Linked DNA regions of Caenorhabditis elegans. The protein of the gene in region 3 purifies or fractionates together with the protein of the main gene of each other region. This does not show direct contact. Each region holds a gene or a part of one and is shown on either strand. Other genes may lie near its edges.

Region 1 (7,220 bases), on a different chromosome or scaffold from region 3:
TCCGCCGAACCGAGCACAAGCTGATCTTCAAAATTTGAGAAGTAAACAGTATTTAAAGTTGCTTTAAAATTTTTGGATTTACGCAGAAATTTAAAAGAAATTTGTTTTAAATTTTCAATTTCGCAAGTGCAAACCTCACGTTTATAAAAAATCCCCCCCCCCCCCTCCCTCTCTGTCGGAAAAAATAAAATTAATCGAAATTTGAATCAGTTCGAGAAAATTACATCGAAATGGGAGTCGAGTTATCGTTGGATCCGCCAGTCTGCCCAATCCAAGCCAATGGTGGTGTTTCTACGCACAAGATCATTAATCACTGCGACAAAATGTTGGCCTATAAGGTATGGAATCCACATTTTATTAAGTCAATTGAATTTTCAGATAAAATCTTCCAATAACTCCAACTACAGTGTCAACACTATCTTTGGACTTATTCAGATTGGGTATACCGCTGATCTGATCATCACTAGAAAGGTATGTAGTAGTTGTCGCCTGGCCTAAAAATTAAACATTTTTTTCAGCCAGGAAAGCCGCAGGCCGACAAGCTTGTTATCCAATTCGCTGCCGTTGAGCAGACTTGCCGTGATGGCTGTATTTGCCAAGGCTGTATTTGCCAATGGACTGCCAACTGGAGAGTGCTGTGGAGAGACGATCATCAAGCTGTCAGCTGCTGAATAGAAGAATTATCACAATAAGATTTGTGATTATGAAAACTTCTCTGAAAATTATGTATTGTGTGTATAAATAAAGTTGAAAGGGGAATGATTTTTTGAAAGTTTGTAGTTTTTATTTGAGAACCGGGAAAATTACAAAAACGACCACCCGCAATGTTTATATTTCGACCATTTTTTGAAAACCGGGAAAGTGTAACCCAAATTTGGTATATACTGTGCCAATATTCTATTCGCTCTCGCTTTTACGGAAAAATATTTTCAACTAACAAAATTTTGCCGTTTTTAAATCTAATTAGTCAGTATTTTTACTTGCCAGACGTTTTTTGGCTAATTTTATAGCAGGAGAGAAAGTAATTATATTTGCATAAGTGTTTTTAAAAAATTGCAAAAATTGAAATTTAGACATTAAATAATATTTTTTAGCAATGGAATGGTCATATTATAATAACATTTTAAACATAAAAACAATGTTGAGTAAAAGATTTAGTTATAAATTACGTGAACTTCATGTTTGCCTTCGAAATCTAACCAAAATCTAACCGTATGACATTCCACGCGTCCAATGACATTTATCAAGATTGATCGGAATATAAATTCAGTTTGAATCTTTTTAACGATGGCAACTCCCGATACTTCGGCTGCGAAAATGGCGGGACAGGATCGTCAAAAGGTACGTGATTTGACTTTTTCTAAAATGAGTTTTCGAACTTTCTTTGACTTTCAAAATAATTGTTATTTTCAGTTAAAAGTTGTTGCATGGTTGCAAAATCTTGTTGAGCGACTGAAAGGATGGACTCCAGGACATTGCCAGAAGCTATTCGATGAGAAGGAGCTCATCCAGCTTTGTTATCGTGCTCGTGAAGTCTTCTGGAAGAACAATGTGAAGTTAGAGGTGTGTACAGACTGCAAAATTCTTTTAAAAAATTAATTTTCTTTAGCTGAAGGCTCCTGTCAAGATATGCGGAGATCTTCATGGGCAGTACGAGGATTTATTGGCCCTGTTGGAATTGAATGGATGGCCTCCAGAGACCAAGTATCTCTTTCTGGGAGACTACGTTGATCGAGGACCGTTTTCGATCGAGGTCATCTCATTGCTCTTCGCCTATCAAGTCCTCCACCCGGACAAAGTTTTCTTGCTCCGAGGAAATCATGAGAGTCGCCCGGTTAACATGCAATACGGATTCTTTATGGAATGCCGTAAAAGATTTTCAAATGCTCTCTACGATGCGTTCCAACTGGCATTCTACTGCATGCCACTTTGTGCAGTAGTCAGCGACAAGATCATCTGTATGCATGGCGGAATTTCCGAGGATTTGGTGGATTTGAGGTTTGAAATTTCGGCAATCAAGGTTTATGCTCATTATTTTGGTTACAGACAACTTGACAAAGTCGAACGTCCCTGCGATGTTCCCGATATTGGCGTCATTGCTGACCTGACATGGGCTGATCCGGATGCCACCATTCAAATGTACGCCGAGTCGCAACGTGGAGCCGGTCGTGTCTTTGGAGCAGAAGCAGTCAAGAAATTCCTGAACACCCATCATCTCGAACTTGTCGTTCGTGCCCATCAAGTCGTCATGGATGGCTACGAATTTTTTGCTGATCGGCAACTCGTCACCATCTTCTCGGCGCCATCATACTGTGGACAAATGGACAACGCTGCGGCAGTTATGACTGTGGATGAAGAATTGGTTAGTTACTTTAACGAACTTTAAAAAATTGTTTACAACTATTCATTACAGGTGTGTTCCTTCACTGTGATGCGTCCGGACTTGAAGAAAGACAAAGAAAAGAAGGCAGCTGTAGGAATTGTCCCCAACTAACAGGCGTGCCCACCATTCAAGGATCAATTTTGAATTAGAACTACTTGATTTTGTATTTACCAATAAATTTTTTGGTGTTTTTTTTGCCCATTCACTGTTTATAGAATAAATTCCTACAGTTAAAATAAAATAATCGCATTTTTCAACCATTTACATTCTCAGATATCATCCAGTGATCTAAGGAAATGAAACAAAATATCATATTTTATATATCATCATCATGATCAAAGTATCATAGTTTCCTCACGATATGAGGAATAACATCTGTGATTTCACTCTGCGGATAGTGTGCTTTTTATCCGGTTTTCATTTAGAAATTATATTTCTTTTATTGTTGTTTTTCAGAAATTTATTTAATATTTCCTATTCTTATTTTATTTGTGCTTCTCACACTTTTTCCCCTTTCGGCCCTATCCGTTTATTTATGCTTGAGAGTTGCGCATTTTCCGATATCAGTAGTTTCTCTAATTATTTGATACGTATACTTTTACATATGCTTCACCTGTTCCCTTGGTAATAACCTTCTTTTCCTCTCATTCTCTCTATCCCTTTACTTCTATTTCGGAAACAGCCAATTAGTGCATATCGAGATATTAAATAAAACGTAGAGACCGCAGAGATATTGTCATATGGTATCCAATGGCAACCGAAAGCATTTACTAGTGCGAAATGTCTCTTTGAGGAATAAGATAGAAATGGAGGATTATAAGAGGTTTAGAGAAAGAAGACAAAAACGAAGGTCTTCTTGTTTAGTTGCTGGGAAGAGCGACTAATAAGATATTCAAGATTTTCAGACAATATCAGGAGGTTGCACACAAACAAAAAGACGTCCCGTGGGTTTTGTTTTTCAGAAATTGTAATCTTCTTCTATTCCATCTCGACCTATCTTCTTCTACTTCTTCTAGTTTTCTTTTTCTCTGTTTTTTTCCGAATGTAATACATATGTGCATAGATTCCAACATGTTCCAGTGAAATGGGCGAATATCAATTACACCAATCTCGTAATTTGAGTGTCAATCAGACCCTTGATGAGATTCTGGGAATCAGTAGAAAATCAGAAACAACCACAACATCAAGTGGCTCAAGTGGAGCTGAAAAGAATGCATTGAACTCTCCGATCCGGCCACCAACAAGACATGGTAGAGAATCATCGGGAAGCAATGAAGAAAATAAAGTATGTTTGACATTAAAATTATTTTAAAAAAAATTTCACTATTCGGAAAAACTAAATCCTTTTTTCTACGTGCTTGAAATAGGCGGTAGGCATATAGGTAGGCAGGGATTAGGCAGGCAAGTGTCTACTATGTAAGCCCTAGAAAAACCAAAATCATACTATCAAGGTGATAAATGTGTGCTCACAAAACGTGTCTGAAATGGCAGTTCAAAGTGCAATATTTTGCACTTTCAAAGTAAGGTCACAAAAATGATTGTCTACATCCGTTTTTGCCATAAAAAGTGGATTCGTCTTATGATTTTGCCAATACCTGTTACAAAGAATTCCAATAACTTAAAAAATTGTTAGTTCTAGTGTAGAAAACCTAGCTAACGAAAAAAGAAAAATCTCTAGGAATTTCAAAAAATTTCAGTCCAATGCCAGATTTCAGTAACAATTAAACTGTGATAATTGGAATAATTTTCAGGATCCGATTCAACTGGAGAATGGAAATGGATCAACATTGAGCTTTCTAACATCTTCTTCATCTGCTACGTCATCAACTGCTGCTAGACGAAATTCAGATGATGATTTTATAAAGAAATTGTGAGCTATTCTCACCTTTAAGTATTTTTCAGCAATCATAATTTTTCAGAAATGATATCAGGCGTCGCTCATTGATTTCTACAATGGATGCAACATCTACACCAACTACATCTGTTCCAATTCATTTTGATTCTCCGAGACGGTAAGTTCTTAGAAACATTGAATATTTTTAATTTGGAGTTTACTTCAGAGAGTCTCGTCCTTGTCTCGAAATTCACGTAGAAGAATCGCCAGAAGAACTTTCAACGCATGCTGTAGAGATCACCGAGTTTCATAGAGACTTGTCGGAAAATTCATTGGGTACAAGTACAGATCATGAAGATCCGAGTCTAACCTTCAGAGTGGATAAAGAATTGGAACAATCTGAATCTAAGAAGACAACTAAAAGGCCTGCAAGTGGAGTTAAGAAAACACTGAAAGCTTCGATTTCTATTGATGCTCCGAAACCAAAACCTCGACCTCGCCCTCAGACCTCAGCAAATTTGTCTACAAAAACAATCAAAGACAAAGATCAAGAGATGATGCAAATGTCTATGTTGTAAGCTATTTTCTTAAATTTTAATTACATGAGGGGAAGCTGCCAATTTTGATTTTCCAGCGGGTCCAAGTTAAATAAACCTTCTGATGCTCATCACAAGGAATGGCTTCAGAAGAAGGAAAGAGAAATTCGGGAGAAAAAGGCAAAAGAGAAAGCTGCAGCAGAGCAGAAAGCTGCAACGGAGGTACCGTAGTTTTAATATTTTTAAACGGAATTGTAACCAACTTTGTTTCAGAAAGAACGTCGTGAAAACTCTGCAAAGTTGTATCAAAGATGGGTTCAGGATCATGATAAAAAAGCGAAGGAATTAAAATCGAAGAAAACTCAACAAGAAAGGAAAAAATCTGAAAATGAGAAAACAACGCAAGATCAGAAACTGAAAGAAGCTGAAAAGGTACTCAACATTTTAAATAAATCTAATAAATAATTGAAATTTAGAATTATGAAATGTGGAAGCGGGAACGTTCGAAATCTGTAACAGATATCAGAAAGAAACTGGAGCAAGAAGAAGACAAGAAAAGAAAGAAAGAGGAAGAAGCTAAAAATGAAAAGATCAAAGAAGCACAGGCAGCTTTTCTAGCATGGTTAGTTTTACGGATTGATAAACTACAAGTGACTTTTCGTTTGTGCTCCGAAGAATATGATATGGTTTTTTACAATATTAATTCTACAATTAGTGATTGTTCGCTGAAATCTCAAAGAAGGCTCCACCGATATCTTGGATTTTTTGGAGTTTTTTCTCGCATATAATCTGCATATTCTGAACAATTTTTGTGATATCCTTCTATATTCTTTGTGGATCATATTATGCACAGATGAAAAATTTATCGATTTTTGCTCCAAAAGTACGGTACCAGGTCTCTAAACGATTTGTTCTCTTGAATTAAACAGAGCGTGTGTAATTTAGGAGTACTGTAGTTTTATTCTCCCGTTTCTTCAGTATTTTATGTATTTTAATATATTTACCATTTTTCAAAGAGTTTTGAAGAAACCGAAGAACAAGTATAAAAAAATCACTGTAAATTTCTCAACAACGAGAAGTTGTCAACTACAGTACTTTTTAAAGGCGCACACTCTTTTGCATTTGAGAAAAGCAGTCGTTTCAAGACCAGGTATTGTTTCTTGGGGCAAAAATCGCAAATTTTCGAATATGAGTAATAATACAAAGCCACGAGAAGCCAAGCTTTGTTAAAAATTTGAAACCGAAATATTTTTCCAGGAAACGGAAAAAGGAAGAACTATTGAATGAAGAAGCTGAAAAGTTGAAAAAGGAACAAGTTCAAAAACAATTGGAAGAATCTGAAAAAATGACAAGATTGTCGTTGGCTAATGAAGCATACGAAACATGGATTGAATTGAAAGAATCGGAACGAGAGTTTATTGCCGATTTTGTGCTTATTGAAGCTCCGCCGATTCCATGGCTTCCACCGAGTAATTTGATTCCAAGGCAATTCGTGAGATCGTCGAATGGAAATCGGTTAGTTTTGTTATTAATGCCTCTTTTGAAATCAAATTGCAAACGCGCTTCACGGCTAATTGAAAGCTCCGCTTTTGGATAATGGGTCTCGTTAGGTATTTGGCGGCAAACCCAAAAATTCAAACGTTTTTGATTAATTTCGCCTAAATATTTGTCGTCTTTTTTTGTAATGTTTTCCGTTGTTAATGATTTATAAGTCGAAACGTTCGTAGGTAGAGCTTATTCAATTAGCCGTGGAGTTCGTTTCCTGTCAATTTCAAAAGCTGATTTTTCTGCCTACATACAAGTTTAAAATCATTAACCTTATGTTTCAGTCTTCGCGCACGGTCTCAATCTGCTAAATCCATTGCAAAACGATCGAGAAGTCGTCCTGGCACTACAACTTCTTTGCGCCCATTTCGTTAAACTGTGATAACGAATTCTATGAAATCAATAAACTTATGTTCTTTCAACAACAACAAAAATAATAACAAAAAAGCGAACGGGTTGAAACAAAAAAGTTAAATATAAAGAAAGGTATCTAAATAACAAAAATGAGTAAAAGTCTGGGTGGTAAAGAAAAAGTATTAAATCGAACAAATTAAAGAGTGACGTTCAGACGTTCGAAAATCGGCGAATTCTGTTTAAGAACGGCTTTCTTGTCGTATTTCTGCATCAATTTGAATGTACCGGTTCCGACAGTCATTGGGGTTCCCATAATAATACACTCCGAAACTCCATGAATCTAAAAAAAGTTCAATAAATTTTCTACAATTAAAACAAATTAAAAAAAATCGAAAATATTTGGGTTTTTATTTTTTCGATTTATAAACTTTAATAGGAAACTATAAAATTTACTTACCACGTCACGTTGAGAGAAAAATGCAGCTTCAAACAAGTGATCCATCGTTTTTTCGAAGGAAGCAAGTAAAAGTACGGAATCTTTCATTTTAACGAGACCATTACGAGTGAT
Region 2 (5,609 bases), on a different chromosome or scaffold from region 3:
ACTGTCATCCAAAAAATCGCAAGTTCAATTCCACCTCAACCCAAAGGCTCACCCATCCGGCTAGGAAATTTACCAGATGAACACACTATGAAATATTTGGAAAAATGTTTTAGTCTATGTACAATGCCATAAAGATTGGAGATGACGAAATTCAAGCCATAATGATGGTAGATAGTTGCTACATAAGCAAACTTGGTACATATTTAATACATACCATTTCTTTGACCATACGCGATAACATCTGGAGATGAACTGGGGATGCCAACTGGCAAGCACAACACGACTTGCACAAGAGGAAGAGGTGAATATAGCGATGCTGTAAAAATTATGGTCCTCGATAAGAAGACGGCGTTTACAAAGAGAGTGACGCCAAGGAGGTGAACGTGTGGAAAGACGCACACCATATAACTGTCTCCTTTCCGCCTACCTCTTCTGCGAGAGTGACCCATCCGAGCACCTAAACAATTTCTGTCATTCATTCTATCTTGATTCATTTTTTGAAAAAAAATATAGAAAAACCAATTAGTTTGGCCTTTAAACGCAAAAATTTCAAAAATGACGTCACAGATTTGCGCGGGATTTTTTTTGAAAAAATCATAAAAAGTTTAGAAAATTAAAATGTTTTTAAATTCGGTATATTGGGACTGTATTCTGTCATTTAGGGCAAAAAAACCCACAGACGCTACTCCACCATTAAAAATTCCTTTAAAAAATTCAGAACTCTTCCCAAAAATTAGAAAAAATTTTGTTAAGAATTCTACAAATATTTTCAAATTTTCTGAAATTTTACACCTTTTCTTGACTTGACTATTATTATTGAAAATTCCTGGGCCTGCTTAAACTTTCATCAAGTTTCTCTAAATTAGTATTAACATTTCTCTAATCATTGACAATTTCCTGAAAGGTTTTTTGATTCTATAAAACATACCGCAATGCTTTTGAGATTTTTGTAATATCATCGAATAATTTTCAAATATTCCCTGAAATTTTTTGAAATGAATTGGAAATTGCGTTTTTGAAATTTTCTCAAATGGCTCTGAAATGCTTTCTGAACTTTTTTGAAATTGATTGGAAATGGCTGAATTTTTTGGAATTCTCTGAGATTTTAGCAAAATAAGCAAATTTATATCCAAAATTTTTTTTCTAGAAACATGTAGCAAATATGATATTTTTTGAACACATAAAAGCATTGGAAAAAGTAAAAAAATCAAAAATTATGAAAGAGTTGGGGTTTGATGAACTGACTCCACTTGAACTGTTGATGAAACAAGATTTGTGTTGCGAGCGTCGATGTAATCCAAATCTGGGCAGTCAATTGATAGGGGTGTTCTGGAAACAAAAAATGGATTCTGGAAGTTTGAAATTTGAAATTTAGAGCTGGAAATCGGAATTTACGTTAAAATTATCCCTAGACCACACTCGGCATCAAACGATATTGTCCATAAAATTTCAAAAAAAGTTTGTTTGAAATAATAAATTTTGACAAAAAAATCAATGTGATTTTGGATCCTAGGTTGCTACATAGTTTCTACAATCCCCCCTAACTATAATTTTCAAAATTTTCAGTGCAAAATGTCGTAAAATCAGGTGTCCCGGGTTACTACTGTACTTGATTTCCTAGAGTTTTGAACAAAGTTTTTGGAACTTAAGAGTTATATGTATTTTGCCACGCGGAGTTCGAATTTCTACTAAAATTTTGAGTATTCGAATTTTTTATAGTTTTCAGAAGTAAAAAATTATAAATTTCAATTCAAAAATACTCTACTGTAGTTTTGTGTCCGGGTTACTGTAGTTTGGTATTTCCCTACCAGACACCAAATTTCAAGTGGGTTTGCACTAAAATTCAGAAATTTTGGGAATAGGTGCAGTTTGTCACGTGGAATCAAAATTTCAAATCAGAATCCAAATATTTTGAAGTTGTCATACTTTTCAACTCTCAAAAGTTTTGAATATATTTTTAAAACTGAAAATTTTGAATTCAGCGCCCATAGATTGCCCTATAAACATAGCTTAAACACCAAAAAAAAAGTATGACCACAGTGCGGACTCGAACCCCGGTCTTCTGATTGGTGGTAATGGAAAATCCTACTGAGACATTTGGGCGAAATTTTGAAAAATTCTGAATTTGTGTAATTTTGGGTCTTTAATGCTATGGGAAAAATATTTCCAAAAAAGGAATTTTCAGTCTTTCAATCTCAATAACTTTTAACTTTGAGTTGAAATTCAATATACTCATTCTAAATCAGGGGTGCAAATTCGGCAAACCGGCAATTTTCCGGTTTGCCGATTTGCGGTCATATTAGGTATTAATATATTTAATTCTATGGGTAAAATATTTCTGAAAATTGAAATTTCAGCTTTTCACTCTTAATCATTTTTAAAATTGAGGCGAAATTCAAAATCCTCACTCTAAATTACCCCTATTCCCCAATTTTAAGGTTTTGGTCTTTTTTTTAATTTCGTGAAATCTAGTATTCTGGATTACTGTAGCTTGATATTTGAGTGCCATACATCAGATTTGACGAGATTTTGCACAAAATAAATTTTCAATTTTCGGTCTAATTTTAGCAATAAAAACTCACTTGTCTCTATGCTGAGTAACCATAACCTGTGGAATATTGCTCAATTTTCTTCGTTTTTCCTTTCGTCTGCAGCAACCACAACTCATTGTGCAGTACATCAAAATTAAGGCGATTAAGGCGAAAAATACGACTGTGGCCGAGAAAATAATGAGCACAAGGTTGAATTCGTCCACGTCCAGCCCATATTCTGGGTACATTGCTTGTGCTGGACTATAAAAAGGTTTTGTGGGCGAATTTGTGAAGAAAATTTTAAAAAGTAGAATAATTGGGATTTAATAGTAAGTTTAAAGAAATACAAAAAAAATTGTGAAAATTTCGATTTTTTTTCAATTTTTATCAACAAAAAAAAAGACTAAAATTAAAGCGTTCAATATTAGTTACAAAAAAAGTTAAAGCATACAAAATCACGAAAAATTCCAAGAATAATGTCTGTGACAATTTCCGGCATTTTCGAAATTTCGCTCAAATGGCTCAGTGGGATTTTCCAGAACTACAAAGCAGAAGACCGGGGTTCGAGTCCACACGGTGGTCGATTTTTTTTTCGTTGCTTGTTAGGTAATAAAAAGTGCTGAATCTGAATTTTAAAGGTTTAAAGCTCAAAAATTGTTAGAAATTGGGATTTCAGACATAGATAATAGCTTAAGTCTGAATCTTGTTAAAATTCGAAATTGTAGGTTTTTTTGCAATTTTTTTAAAATGAAATTTTTACCAAAAAGATTTTGAGCATGCAAAAAAAAATTGAAACTCAAATTTCAAAACTCTGGGAAAAATTGAAACAGCGGAAAAACCCCAAATTTCAAAAAAAATTTCACAAAAAAACGAAGAAAAGTTCCTCCAGTTTAACCTAATAAGATATTTCACCAAAAATGAGTTTGTTCTTCGCTCTTTTTTCGTTTTCTTCTTCCCCATCCAAAAATTTCACCAAAAAAAGAGTGCAAGTCAAAAATGTCATTCAAAGTTGTTTGCAAGAAGCAATTCCCATGAGGTTCAACTAAAAATGTACCGGATTTTACTTGGAACGCACTTGAAAGAAAAATAAAATCGGAAAAAATCAATATTTTTCAATAAAAATAAGTAATTTGGAAAATCTGACAAGCTCAAAGAGCTCAAAACTTGATGAAAATACTTCAAATTTCAAAAATTTGAATTGTATCGTCAAATTAGTCGGATGGCCCAATTTTCAAACGTTAGTGCAAAATTCTGTCAAAATCGGTGTTGGGTACGCAAACACCAAGCTACAGTAACCCAAGAAAATAGATTTGACCACATTTTCCATAGTAATCTTGAAATACTGCGGGCAGGGGTAATTTAGGGCAAGGGTGGGCGGCAAACGATTCCGGCAAATCGGCAAACTGCTGGAATTGCCGATTTGTCGAATTTGCCAGAAAAACGGGGAATGCCGGAAATTTTCTGCAAATTGTGGTTTTGCACATTTTTTTTGGGAATTTCAGATTTTTAATTATAATCGGGAAAAAATTAAAAAGGGCACAGGTTTAAGTGTTTTCGTCTTTTGAAAAAAAAATCCTCTAAACATTCCCCGCAAATCTGATATCCGGCAAACGACAAATTGGCAATTTGCCGGAATTGAAAACTTCCGACAAATCGGCAAACCGGAAAATTGCCGGTTTGCCGAATTCGCACCCCTGATTTAGCATGAGTATATTGAATTTCGACTCAAAGCTAAAAGTTATTGAGATTGAAAGGCTGAAATTTCCTTTTTTTGAAATGTTTTTTCCAATAGAATCAAAGGCCCAAAATTACACAAATTCAGCATTTTTCAAAATTTTGCCCGAATGGCTCAGTAGGATTTTCCACAACCACCAATCAAAAGACCGGGGTTCAAGTCCGCACTGTGGTCAAAGTTTTTTCTTGGTTTTTAAGCTACGTTCATAGGGCATAGGGTAATTGATGGGTCTAAATTCAAAATTTCAAGTTTCAAAGTTCAAAAATGACTTTAAAGTTCGATCTTGACCTCTTAAAATTTAGAAAAAAAAACAGTGGAAGAAAAGAATGGGGAAGAACATTTTGAAATTCTCAGATTACCGCAAACCTTTTTGCCGTCTCTCTGCGTGTGTGTGTATGCCGGCGGTAAGAGGTAAAAATGATCAGCACAAAAAGAGCAAACATTCTCGGGTTCTTCTTGTGCTCCGAGCCTCTTCCCACAACTTTTCCTATTTCTCTATCTCTGTAGTAAAGGTATCACACGGCAGATAGTGTGACAGATTGAGAGATCAAAAACTGGGCAACAGTTGGCTCCGGCTCGGTGAGAAAATCGAGAGAAAATCAGGAGAGATGTCGGCACCCACCTCGAATTTTTAATCACTTTTTTAGTGGTTTTACACATTGCAAAAGACGTGGAAAACTATGGGAAAATAAAAAGTTTTGATGCAAACTCGAACCCCGGTCTTGTGATAGGAAGTTTTGGAAAATCCCACTGAGCCATTCGAATAAAGATTTTCAAAAGTGATGAAAAACGATTTTTAATTGCTTGTAAGCTCAAAAAATTTTAGAATTTAAACTCAGCATCTCGCAATTACTTTACTAACCATTTCAAAACAATGAAAAAAAAGTTTCGACCACAGTGCGGACTCGAACCGCGGCCTTGTGATTGGAAGTTCTGAAAAATCCCACTGAGCCATTTACCCAAAATTTTCCGAAAATGCGTCAAAATTCCAAAAAATAGCGAAAAACTAGTTTACACATGTTTTCTAACTTTATAATTCGAACACAACACACTGAAATTGCCTTAGCCCTGCCGAGAAAAAATATTCCCCACAGCGCGGGCTCGAACCCCGGTATTCTGATTGGTAGTTCTGGAAAAACCCATTGCGCCATTCGGGCAAAAATTTGAAAAATGCTCAGACTTCACCGAAGTTGAATTCTTGAATAAGTTTTCAGATTAAAAGTTTATTGAACAAGAAAAAATTGAATTACAAAATAAAAAGAAAAATTAAAATATCAGGTCGTAGTAAAGGAAGTTCAAGAACTAATAATAATTAAATATTTTCAGAAGAAGCTATTTTTTGG
Region 3 (5,300 bases):
TACGAAGATAGATATTCCCGAAGCCATTTTGAATGATAGAGATGATATATTGGACCGAGAAGATGATCACAATGAAGATCAAGTTTCTATTTATGAGTGAGTTTTTAAATTAATTCTTGCATGCTATATTTTTGTTTCAAAAGTTGCTTCTCAAATAACTCATAAATTATATCTCTCATATACAAAAAAATTGGACTCCGTATTAAAATTAAAGTACGGTTCTCAAAATATTTTAATTAATATATTTTTCAAATTACTTGATGAACTCACTTCCCAGTTGTCAATTCAATCGTCATCTCTTTCCTTAACAACCTTGTCGATAATACCAACCCTCCTCTGGAACAAAAGACCATGTACCAGTTTCGCATTGTAAAAGGTGCAAGGTATCCCCCACCTATATCTACTTGTATCTCATAGTGGGAAGAAGGTCGAACGCTGGTTAATAACCAAATGGGGCGTGGTCTACCGGACCGTATATATATGAACAACCGGAAGAATAAGAATCATTCATTCTGGAAATCTTCCAGTTGTTAGCTACCTAACTCTTTCTTTCCCCTACTTTCAATTCTTGCTTTCAAAATGGAGTACTCTTACATTCCATCCGCAGCTCTTTACAACAATGCTGATATTTTCCAATTCTTCCCTCGGAACAAGCGTCTCAATTCTCATCAAAAGTCTCGCCTTGATGAGCATGCTCGGAAAATGGCTGCTTTCATGATGGAGAGACAAGAAGAATACCGCTACTACGAGAACTTGGCCAATCAGGAACAGTTCTCCGATGACAATGGAATGGAATCAGGATTCTGCAGTGGAGCCACTTCAACTGGACAATCAGCTTCAACATCTCCTGCTCCAGTTCAGCTCATTCCAAACCCATTCTTTGATCCAGAATATGTTGCTGCCAAAACTCAGTCTCCAGTGAAGCTCGTCACCAACCCATTCTTCAATCCAGAGCTTGTCGAGGAAATCAAGAAGAAGTCCCAGAAGAGAAACGAGAAGTCTGCTCCTGTTTCTGCCTAGTTAAAATTAATTTTCTGTTTATTTTTTTTGTACCTTTGTATCGTTTTGGCTTTCGTACTGGTTCCAATTTTCGTGTACCCCTTGAAATTTTTTTCCGGTTTTCCTATTTCTACTTCTTTTTTGTTCTTTTTTTCTTGGATTTTTCTAATATCAATAAAGTAATATTTTTTAAATGAGTTTTTCCAACATACCTAGCTTTCATAGCGTTTAAGATAAATTCAAAGTTAACAATCAATTTCAGATTCTCCCGAGTCTCTGATCCAAATTCTGAGCATTCTTCATCAAACTCCATCAGTGATAGCTTCTATTTGAACAATTTTGATGTGATATCTTCAGCAGCTAGTGAGTATTACACAGTCCCCCTCAACAAAATTAAACAAAACTTTAAGATTCTCAAATCTTCGAAGCGAGTATATGCGGGGAATCTGATGTGGCATCGAAATTTCAGCTTCACAGGTAAATTGAGTTTTGTATTGATTCTTAGTTTTTTAATATAAAACTGAAAGTTATCAGAAAAATTTTTATTTCTCATCGGAAGATGCTTGCTTACTTTTAAATCAAATCAGAATGTATATTCAGAATCGAAGAAGAGTCCGAAAACGGCGATGAGCAAAGTTGTGCGGGAGCCCATGATCCACTGATCAACAGTATGACCCATAGTCCTTCTCAATTTTTTCCACGGAGTATCTCACAACAATTTGATATGATGAGACTACAATAAATGTGTTTTGTATTATTATAATTCTGCTTTGAAACGGGAACTAATAATATTGATTTATCAAATATATACGAGAAGTGTTATTGTGTGGTTCCATTCTTTATTCAAAATCACTCGTACTGGTGTGGATAAATATCAAATCATTGCTTTATAATTATTGTTCAACTGTTATGCTTTTGAATTAAAAAGAAACAAAATATGAAATTCCAATATATTTATTTCAAAGCCTTATATTAGAATTTCAATTATGATAATATCTTTTGTACACATTCAAACTTCATTTTTTCTTCAAATCTTTCACTGTTCCCATCATGCTCTTGTTCTTCTTGTTAGTGCTTCTGGCAACAGTCGTCGTCTTGCCCTTTTTTTGCTGTCTCTTGCTGTCTCGCGTCATCCATTCCTTTATAACGCCACTTCTAACGGCTGTCAGGGCGCTAATAACCACAAGACCCTGAAAATTAGAAATAATTTTCAGTAAAGGCTCAAAAATAAAACGAACCTGTTTGAAGTGGCGATTATGAAAATGTCGACCAGCTCGGACGTACTCCTTCAGATTGTCCAATTCACGGCACTGTAAAAATTGCACTTATACAAAAATTTTCCTTTCTAAATTTTCCAACAATATCTTGGGGATTCTTTCTACATGCCCATGAAAAGCTTTTAAAGTTGCAACAATTTTACAAAAGTAGTTGTGGAAGTTAACTTGCCCACGGGTTTTGTTTGACACTTGGATCCCGTTGCAGTACGTGATTTTTTTTTCAATTTCAGAAAATATGTCGTGACACTAAATTACAAAACAGCACGTATTGTTGCGATTTCCAGATTTCAAATTGCGATAGACCAAGTCGTCAAGCTTTGCCAAAAAAATAACAAAACTCCCTTCTAAATTCACCTGTTCATCTAATGTATGCACTGCCTTATGGTATTTTGTGCATTGATCTCGAAGGTCTGGAAGAATCTGTGTCTTTTCCACTTTCTTTCTTCTACGATTGCACGTCTTCACAGTTTTCTCCACATCACTGTACATCTTCTTGATCTTATCACAATAAAATACTGTCGTTGTGTAGATGTTTGAGTCATGGTCCACATTTTTGATATCATCTGTAAAAAGTTTCAATAGAATAGGAGAAATAATTTTGTTTTCCTACAGAAATGTTGCTCCTCCTTGTGGCCCATTTTTTCACACAATTCCGCAATCATATTGGCTTCCGCCTCGTTCTTCTTGATGAACTCGACCTTCTTCAAGTATGCCGGCATGTATCTCCAACCGCTGTTGGGAACCTCCGTTTTATCAGAGAAGTGATAACTTGTTCCCGACTGAAAATTCATGCATTAACACGTGTACTATTTGAGTTGGCTCCGCTATTCAAAATCTTACAATGCACATTTTCTCAAGCCCGACGGTGACGCCTTGCATGACATCAAGGTACTTGATAATCCACTCAATATCACTGGAGAACTGTTCGTTCAGGTTAAATTGATCCTTGTTAAGAATTTTACCGACGAAGTTCGCGTCCTCTATCTCTGAGCTTTCTCTATAATATCTCAGATTGCGAAGAATAAAATTCTTATGAACTTACGGATTATTAGACTTTGGGTTCTCTTCAGCAAGATTAGATGGGCTCACAGGAGTGCTGGTCGGCAAATTTGACATTTTTGAAAACTGATTGAGTATTGATTTGGAATACGAGATTGAGTATTTCCACGTTTGTCTTCGAAAAAATAAGTTTTCACGAATAAAAATTAATAATCTATTTTATTTGTTTTTTGTAACTAATTTTTCTAGCATTAATGCCAATTGGCGAAAAATATTTCCGAATTCGCTGGTCCAATGATCCTATTCTCCAAAAGCAACATCTTTGCTCAGTTTTACTGTTGTTGACCCCATAAATTAGCTATTTTCCCAGATATGCCGGAAATTGTGTTCATTTCTAATAACCTTGTTTGCCAATGTTATCGTCACCCCGTCTGGAAAAATACCATCGTAAAAGGTGCAAGGCATCCCCCACCTATAATTCCTTGTGTCTCATAGTGGGAAGAAGGTCGGCCCCGCTGGATAATAACCAAATGGGGCGTGGTCTACCGGACCGTATATATAAGGACAACCGGAAAGAAATAGTATCATTCATTCTGGAAATCTTCCAGTTGTTAGCTACCCAGCTCTTTCTTACCGTCTACCCTTTCTCTCAATTCTCACTGTCAAAATGGAGTACTCTCAAATTCCATCCTTCGCATTCTACAACAATGCTTCCATCTTTCAATTCTTCCCTCGAAACAAGCGTCTCAACACTCATCAGAAATCTTGCCTTGATGAGCATGCTCGAAAAATGGCTGTTTTCATGATGGAGAGGCAAGAAGAGTACCGTTACTACGAGAACTTGGCCAATCAGGAACAATTCTCCGATGATGCCTGCTTCAGTGACACTGGAATGGACTCCGGATTCTGCAGTGGAGCCACTTCAACTGGACAATCAGCTTCAACTTCTCCTGCTCCAGCCCATCTCATCCCAAATCCATTTTTTGATCCAGAATATGTTGCCAAGGCTCAATCTCCAGTGAAACTCGTTGCCAATCCATTCTACAATCCAGAACTTGTCAAGGAAATCAAGAAGAAATCCCGTGTTTCAGTTTAATATTATTAATTATTTTTATTTATTTTTCCTCAAACAGTTTAGTCGGTTTTTCTGATATCCAGGTTCGGTTTTTATAATTGTACTTTTTCTTGGAAATGATTACAAAATTTCTGTCCGGTATTTTTTCTGTATTGGTTTTCTCAATTTTTAACAACTGTACTTTTACTCAATTGTTTTAATAAATTAATCAGACTAATTAAAAGTTGTTTTTCACTTCAAACGACCACGCTTTCAATACTAATTGAATACAATACATTTCTGAATAAAATTTTTTTGCTAGTTCCACCATCGAAAATTCCAATTACTCCAATTACTTTAAGCTAGTATTTTGTAGCACATTCGTTTTTTTCAAAATTTTCAGATGATTGATTGATTTATTTAACATAACTAATGCAATTTACAACTGTACAATTGAATTTTGAGTGTTAAATAAAACGGTAAAACGAGACTAACCCAGAAAGAGTACGTCTCGAGTTTGGGACGGGAAAGGAGAGAGAGGGTAATGTGGTAGAAGAGATCAGTTAGAAGTCAAAGAGAACCAGCGGATAAAAGTTAATACCGGGGAATATTGAGATCGAGAAAACTTGAAAACTGATAGGGGGAGAGAAATACCGGTATATTTTTGACAAGATTGTTCCAAATAGGAATGGATTTGGCAAAGAAATGAGAGGTGCATGTGTCTTTCCTAACCAGAATCATGGGTCTCCTATTGGAATTAGAGAACTTGACAAACTGAGTTAATTTAGAGAAATGAGTAGAACCGGTAAGAAGTCTATATAATAGTTTCATTTGAGCTTTAATTCTAGTGTGTCTGGTGGAGAATAGTTCCATGATGCACAGTCTGTTTTCGTAAGAGGTGAATTTAACGTTGCACCTTTGCAGGACGCGGTTGGTGAAGGTCCTAAGCGGTTTTTCAAGTATGGCAGAGA
Region 4 (6,490 bases), 9.6 Mb from region 3:
AGTTAGTATACATAGATAATGAGTTCACGTTACACGATCTTCATATCCACGTTAAGGGTTAGGTACACGTAGATACCCAACATCTCCCCTCTTCAATGACAAACGAGAGCTTTGGTGAGGAGCCATCCACGAATGTCTTCTGAGGTTCTCACGGACCACCCTCCAGTGTGACCGTCGATATTGCCAATCCTTTGCACACGGTACTTCGGTGTTCACATCCTCCAATTGCGGGTTCCAAGTTAGCCACACTTCCCGTACCAATCGAAATATTTTTGATGTCTATCCACCCTTCACCAACAGACTAAAAAAACGTTGCTGCCTGAATATTAGACCCAACCTTGAATCATCCACACTGATTCCGCCTGTTCCACCATCAACCTGTTGTATCCCAGTTCCTGGTTGTGGATCATGTTATGACCAATAACAATTTGTGCAATCGTCCAATGACTGAGCATTTGAAACGCATAGGTGGCCTTCACTCGCATCTTCAAAAGAGTTGAGCAATGATTCCTTCTTCTTTTCGACTTCAAACCAGAAGCCGCTCCTGTCCACCTTGACTGCAACTGCAGAGAGCACGGCAGGTGCCTCTTCCCAAAGCTGACCTGATCCACCTCAGAGGTCTTTTCTTCCCAGTAGACATGTGTAGATCAAAACAATACCTCAGAGGTCTTTTCTTCTAAGTAGACATGTGCATGAAGTCAGTGGTGCAGTGAGCCCGAAAGATCCTGATCGCCAATGTTATATATTCGAGGCCGAACAAGGAGGCGAAGACGAGTAGTTTATTATTACATAACTAAGGAATAAATAGAAAGTTAGTATACATAGATAATGAGTTCACGTTACACGATCTTCATATCCACGTTAAGGGTAAGGTACACGTAGATACCCAACATTTTTTATTAGCTTTGATGCTTTTGGAGATATTTAAGTTTTAAAATTGATAAAAATCAGGTAACCTGTCCCTACTTAGAGCTATCATAACTATGCTCAAAGTTGAGCTACAAAAAATTTGTAAATTAACAACTTATAGAACAATTTGCGTAGATTATTTTGTTAATTGACAATCTTTTGCTAACTTTTGTAGATTTACAGATATTCAGATTTTAAAATATACCACCTTCGTTGAGCCGGTAACTAGCAAAATATAGAAAAATTTAGGAACATTTTTAGTACCAAAAAAACATTTTATTAAAATCCACGCAACAAATTTCAGATTATCAAAAACACGACAACAAGACATAATTGAAAAAAAAAATTAGCAAATTGAAAAATCAGTCCTCCAATGGTAAAGCGCTTCCAATTGGCATCACTTCGAAGACCAGGCACCAACTGACATGTGGCATAAACTCCAAAGGGTCCAAGTTTTCAGTTCTCTTCTTACCGTAGACATTAAGCTCGGATTCATAGGTCAGCGGGATGTTGAAGCAGTGAGGGAATTCGGTGCAGCTGGAAAAAAAGGAAAATTTGGGAAGAGTCCAACTTTGGAAGTTTATAAACTAGTATGTACATTAGATAATTTTAGAATATTTAATAAAAAATTATAGTGAAAGTAATATTTATTATTTTGCCAGTAAACAATTTTCCATCAAGATATAAGCCTCCATAGTTGAGGTGTAATGCTAAACTTCAAAAAAAAATTTTTGCATAAAATCGAACCTGCGCGCCGCAGAACAGGTTCTGCCACAGAAAAATTTGAAATTGTAAGTCAGAATTTTTGCAACGCATTTGCAACACGAAAGTTTTTGTAAAAGTTGTTAGAAATTTGAGTTTTAGTTTTTGGATAATTTTGCAAAAAAAAAACAACTAATTTCGAAAGAGCATAACTCAAAAACCCAACTACTTTCATAAAATTGCTCAACTGCAAAACCGTTGCAAATAATAGCATCTACAATCTTGTAGTTGACAACTTTCCACTAGCTCTACCAGGAGAAAAGTTACAGCGGCCGACACTTCACGGGCTTTTGAAAAGTTCGAAAAAGCACAAGTGAGGTAGTTTGTATCTATTTAAAGAGCCTCAAACTCAAATTTCGATGTATTACATATCAGTGCAATGTTCAAATAAAAACTAAATGAAGATTTTTTGTCGACTTTTCCCTAAAAACATGGTGCATCGGAGCTCCAAATTTCCAGCTGGTGCATCGATGCATCCTGAATTTTGCGAACTTACTCTACTCCCTCCATCCTCTTGCTCACAACCATCGGATGATCCCCGAGCAAGTTCAATGTGGATTGGGTGGCGTGATACTGCTTAACACCAAACGTAAAGCAGGTCCCAATACTCTTCGGTGTCTCGATCCAATTATCAATCAGCTGCACATAGTCATGATGGAACAGTGGACTATGAAGCATGTAGACATTCTTCTGTGGAAGCTTCAGTAGGAAAGGGATCCAGGCAAAGTTCTCCCCAAACATTTTCTCAGTTCCGATAACCAGACGCTGGGTGGCATGGATAACTGGGTGGTCGTGCTCTAGAGGCATATGCAAGCTCTTGAAAGGCAGAGTGCTCTCGTGGAAAATACTGTTCAGACCATCCCAAAGCAGTCCGAACTCCGTACCAAATCTCATATTGGAAACTTTCACTTTAAAATTCTCGGGGAGTCGGTAGACCCCACCTGCATCACCAAGCTCCAGGGTCTTTATCACAATTGGGTGAGCTCTTTTTCCGAACAACTTCTCTGTGATATACTTCATCGCATCATACATTTTCTTGTTATAATCCAGATACTCAATGATCCCATGGAAAGTCTCCCTGTCCCGCCTGAAGTCTAAGTTCATCCTTTGGAATCTGATGCCAAATCTGTATGGAGCTGGTTCATTTTCCTCTCGCCAGCTGTATGGATTCGTGTATGCTTCGAGTTGGTCGGTGACTGCTGGATCTATGTCTGGCTCGTCTTCGGATTCAGATGCTTCGGATTCTGAAGATGAATAGCGTGCTCTTGGGAGGTAAGCGTCGCCGAGGATACGCCGGATCTGAGCTTCCTGGGGGTCATCGTCTTCATCATCTGATCCTTCTGCTGGAAGATCTTCTGCTTCATCCTCATCATCTTCGGAAGAGCTTTCAGGGTCTGAAAAATATATTTTTGAGATTTTCCGAAACAAAAATTGGCCGCCGAAACACTTTAAGCTATCATATTTCAGCTAGAAATCAAGCTATCACAAATTTGTCAACTGAGATAGTGCTCTAAATTTTCTTAAACAGCAGCCGACATATCACTGGACTCCTTATCACCTACCTTCCCTCTGCTGCACCTGCATCCGCCCCTGTGGTCTTATAAAATCCCGCATTGCAAATTGCAACATCTCCATTGTCATATCCTCCATATTATTAATTTTTTCCTTGCTTTCAACTTTCAAATCTCCAGGGCTCAAAACCTCATTGCAGCGGGGATCCTTAAGCCCATACTGATCCATATCATAGGCAGCACCTCCATCTAAGTTCACATTGTTGATATATGGACTATAGTAGACATGGTCTTTCGGTAGGTGGCGGAGCAGTCCTAACGTGTACCTATGTCGGTTGATTCGGATGACACGGGGATTCATGTAGAGCTTGTAGATGTGGAGGGGAGCAGCTTTGTCGGCTGCTTTTAGGGAGTCACATCGTTCCACTAATTTAAATCTGGAATATTTTAAGTAGGTTGATAGGTGTTTAAAAGTAAAAATAATATTGGTAGCTGCCCCACTTCTAGGAACGGCTCAAAATTTGAGCAAAACATGGTTCATCGACAGAAAATTGCTTAAGTTATTATACTTCTACCGAAGCCCGTTTTAATAAATTTTTACACAAAGAAAATTGAATTTTGAGCTGTTAAAGTTGAGGAAAACATGATGCATCGACTGTAAATTTATCAACTTTTGCTCTGAAAAAGTAACCTACTAAAATATATTCCAAACTCTTTTTAAACTTTAATAGCTTTTCAAAAACTTTTTTCAGCTCTACAATCAGAATTCCAAAAAAAAATAAAAGCATACCTCCTATTAGCTTCAAAGAACTGTAGTACACATTTCTGGCACTCATATGGGAGTGGTGTTAAGCTCATATGTAGGTATTTATTACCTGTAAAAAAGTGGGAAATTGGTGCGAAAAGTGAGAAAAACGTTGAAAGAAACGAGAAAATTGTGAAAAACTGACAAAAAATGACTATGATCTAGTAAACAAATTTCCAAAAAGTAGTAAAGCTGCATTCGAAAGTAGTAAAATATTGCCAGAGTGTAGCCAAAAATAGCAAAATTTCAACGAAAATATAAAAAAATAGTCGAAAAATAGCTAGAAATAGTCCAAAAATTGTCAGAAATCGGACAAAACAGCCAAAAAATAGTTCAAAACTTGTGGAAAATACCCAATAATTGTCCGTCTTCCCCCTATTACATACCCCCGTTGGAGAGGCAATAGGGACCATTAGACTACCCTAAATAACTAGGTGACCTCTGTCCATCTGTCGCAGACGGGGCGGGAATGTTTATCTCTGTTGACCTTGAGCATCGGTCCTCTATAGAGAGCCTACACGTACCCGGACTACTTGATGTGAATGGAGAATTAGAATAAAAGAGATTCTATAGATTTTTTTTGTGAAAAATTAGTTCAAAAGCTCATAACTCCGCTGAAAATTGAGCTATTGAAAAGTTGTCAACTACAAAAATATTTCAAATTAATTTTCAAACATTTTGTTGGTGGAAAACTTTTTGCTAGCTCAACTTTCAGCTGAGTTATGATATTTTTAAGTTGGTATTTGAAAAATTTTCATGTGAAAAATCAATTGAGGCTTCTATTTGACAAACTATTTTAGGGTAGAGGGGGGCAAGAATCATGCTGGTTTGGACCAAATCTGACCTTGATACTAATATGTTGTTTACAACATTTGCCGTGTTTGCAAAAAAAAAACAGGCAGAAAATTAACTTTACGCTGGAAAATTGGTAGATATTGGGTCGCCAAAAATGCGAAAAAAAGAATGAAAATTGATCTTCAGTGCCCTTTTATTCGGGTTTATCATGGTGCATTAGCACAGGCTTCCATTTCAAAATTGGCCACATCCATTGAGATGTCGGATGCTGACTTTAATATCAACTTTGTTTGCAGCCGACACTTTCCCGGTTCCTTTCAAAATGTCGAAACAGTAGAAGACATCTCACAAGATTTTTCAAGCTTGTATTAACAAAAAATCAACCAAGAACCGCAGCCGACATTTCCGGGCTTTCAAGTGTTCCTATATTAAATCCGTAAATTGCACACTTGACAGAAATAAAAAATAAGGGCACGTTTTCGACATGAGGTGTCCCGAGAAATGTGACTGCACTTTGAGAACTTATATCTTAGCTTAGGATTGGCGTTTTTTTTTGAGCAATTTGTTTCAATAGCTCCAATCATATTGAGGACCGCACTTTTTGAACATTATGGCCACTTTTAACCTCAGCAGGACAGGCCAAATGCTATTTCATTTCACTCAAATCCAAAAATCAGGGATAAGGGCTGCCTGCTTACTCTTAGAAACTTTAGGCTTTTTCTATCCCTACTTCCAGCAGAGCAGGCTGGAGGACTTTTATGAGACTACGTCTGTATTTGAAAAGATCAGTTAATTCGGATTGAGGGCTGCAGGCCCAAATACACATAGAAGTATTGGACAATCTTTAAGCCTACTCTGAGCCCAATAATCCAGGTTGAGGGCCGCAGGCCCGAATACACGGATAGAAAAGACCCAGAAATAATATTATCTCAAATGACCATGGCTCAATCAGTTTTCATTCAAAATGATCAAAATTTTCCCGAGTTTTCCAACTTAAACTACTGCGAAGCCTAGCGCGCTTGACGCGCTAGTCAACAGCGTGGAAAATGCGTCTATCGGTCATTGAGACATGGAACTAGTACGGAAATTCAAAAAAAAATTAATTAAAAATTTAAAAGAACACGTTTCCACGTTTTAACAGTATAAAAGAGAGAAATATTCGAATATTTGATCTATTACTCAACATTATGAACGGCTACAAGTCCCTCCTTGTGTTGGTCACCGTCTTTGTTGTCGCACATGCCTATCAAACAGGGTATTACCCTTTGAAGCGTTTGGTTTCCGATGGTCCCTGGCAACCCGTCTCATTGTGCCCTTCTGAAAAAGTTTTTGGGATTCAAATCAAGTACAACGTCAATACGAGCGACGTTCCAACAGGGATCGCCATTGTGTGCGATCGTAGTAAGCATTTATTTACTGTTTTGGAGCATGTAATTGAATTTTCAGGCAGAAGAGCTTCGAACTCTCCAGGAGAACGCCAATGGAGCAGCTCTCAACGTTGTCCCAATAAACTAAGAGTGATTGGATATTCCCTTCAAATTGAGCCGAACAACACTGCCGGAGCTAACAATATTGCTGTTTTCTGTGGAGATGGTTCTGAACCGAGAAGCAAGAGATTCAATCTGACAGGTTTTAACAGAAATGTTGCTTGTGATATTTAAAATTGTGTTTTAAGGAAACGCAGATCGTGGCTTGTGGACAAGAGCTC

The links.
Region 1: the proteins of ZK673.6 (region 3) and maph-9 fractionate together in Caenorhabditis elegans (co-fractionation; one large-scale study listed by BioGRID). This does not show direct contact.
Region 2: the proteins of ZK673.6 (region 3) and F48F5.6 fractionate together in Caenorhabditis elegans (co-fractionation; one large-scale study listed by BioGRID). This does not show direct contact.
Region 4: the proteins of ZK673.6 (region 3) and fbxc-51 fractionate together in Caenorhabditis elegans (co-fractionation; one large-scale study listed by BioGRID). This does not show direct contact.

Annotation. Positions count from the first base shown.
Region 1 is NC_003282.8:7,153,437-7,160,656, forward strand, and holds maph-9 (Protein maph-9), read left to right. Parts: upstream 1-3,191; 5' UTR 3,192-3,327; intron 3,328-3,463; 5' UTR 3,464-3,467; coding exon 3,468-3,668; intron 3,669-4,134; coding exon 4,135-4,253; intron 4,254-4,302; coding exon 4,303-4,395; intron 4,396-4,443; coding exon 4,444-4,791; intron 4,792-4,851; coding exon 4,852-4,975; intron 4,976-5,026; coding exon 5,027-5,185; intron 5,186-5,229; coding exon 5,230-5,375; intron 5,376-6,010; coding exon 6,011-6,268; intron 6,269-6,582; coding exon 6,583-6,673; 3' UTR 6,674-6,720; downstream 6,721-7,220. Other genes in the region: C34D4.3 (MSP domain-containing protein), read left to right, coding at 231-338, 379-471, 519-671; C34D4.2 (Serine/threonine-protein phosphatase), read left to right, coding at 1,288-1,341, 1,414-1,563, 1,610-1,998, 2,047-2,362, 2,414-2,494; rpc-1 (DNA-directed RNA polymerase subunit), read right to left, coding at 6,849-6,992, 7,110-7,220.
Region 2 is NC_003283.11:20,447,168-20,452,776, forward strand, and holds F48F5.6 (uncharacterized protein), read right to left. Parts: upstream 2,793-5,609; 5' UTR 2,780-2,792; coding exon 2,583-2,779; intron 1,330-2,582; coding exon 1,215-1,329; 3' UTR 1,108-1,214; downstream 1-1,107.
Region 3 is NC_003280.10:10,460,928-10,466,227, forward strand, and holds ZK673.6 (uncharacterized protein), read right to left. Parts: upstream 3,404-5,300; 5' UTR 3,393-3,403; coding exon 3,319-3,392; intron 3,274-3,318; coding exon 3,117-3,273; intron 3,056-3,116; coding exon 2,887-3,055; intron 2,840-2,886; coding exon 2,631-2,839; intron 2,310-2,630; coding exon 2,238-2,309; intron 2,190-2,237; coding exon 2,016-2,189; 3' UTR 1,940-2,015; downstream 1-1,939. Other genes in the region: ZK673.11 (Protein aurora borealis), read left to right, coding at 1-96, 1,262-1,362, 1,410-1,476, 1,600-1,741; ZK673.5 (uncharacterized protein), read left to right, coding at 580-1,020; sdz-37 (SKN-1 Dependent Zygotic transcript), read left to right, coding at 3,943-4,371.
Region 4 is NC_003280.10:866,381-872,870, reverse strand, and holds fbxc-51 (F-box C protein), read right to left. Parts: upstream 4,058-6,490; 5' UTR 4,041-4,057; coding exon 3,973-4,040; intron 3,620-3,972; coding exon 3,234-3,619; intron 3,066-3,233; coding exon 2,168-3,065; intron 1,447-2,167; coding exon 1,272-1,446; 3' UTR 1,172-1,271; downstream 1-1,171. Other genes in the region: Y46B2A.3 (Fibrinogen C-terminal domain-containing protein), read left to right, coding at 5,970-6,183, 6,229-6,411, 6,458-6,490.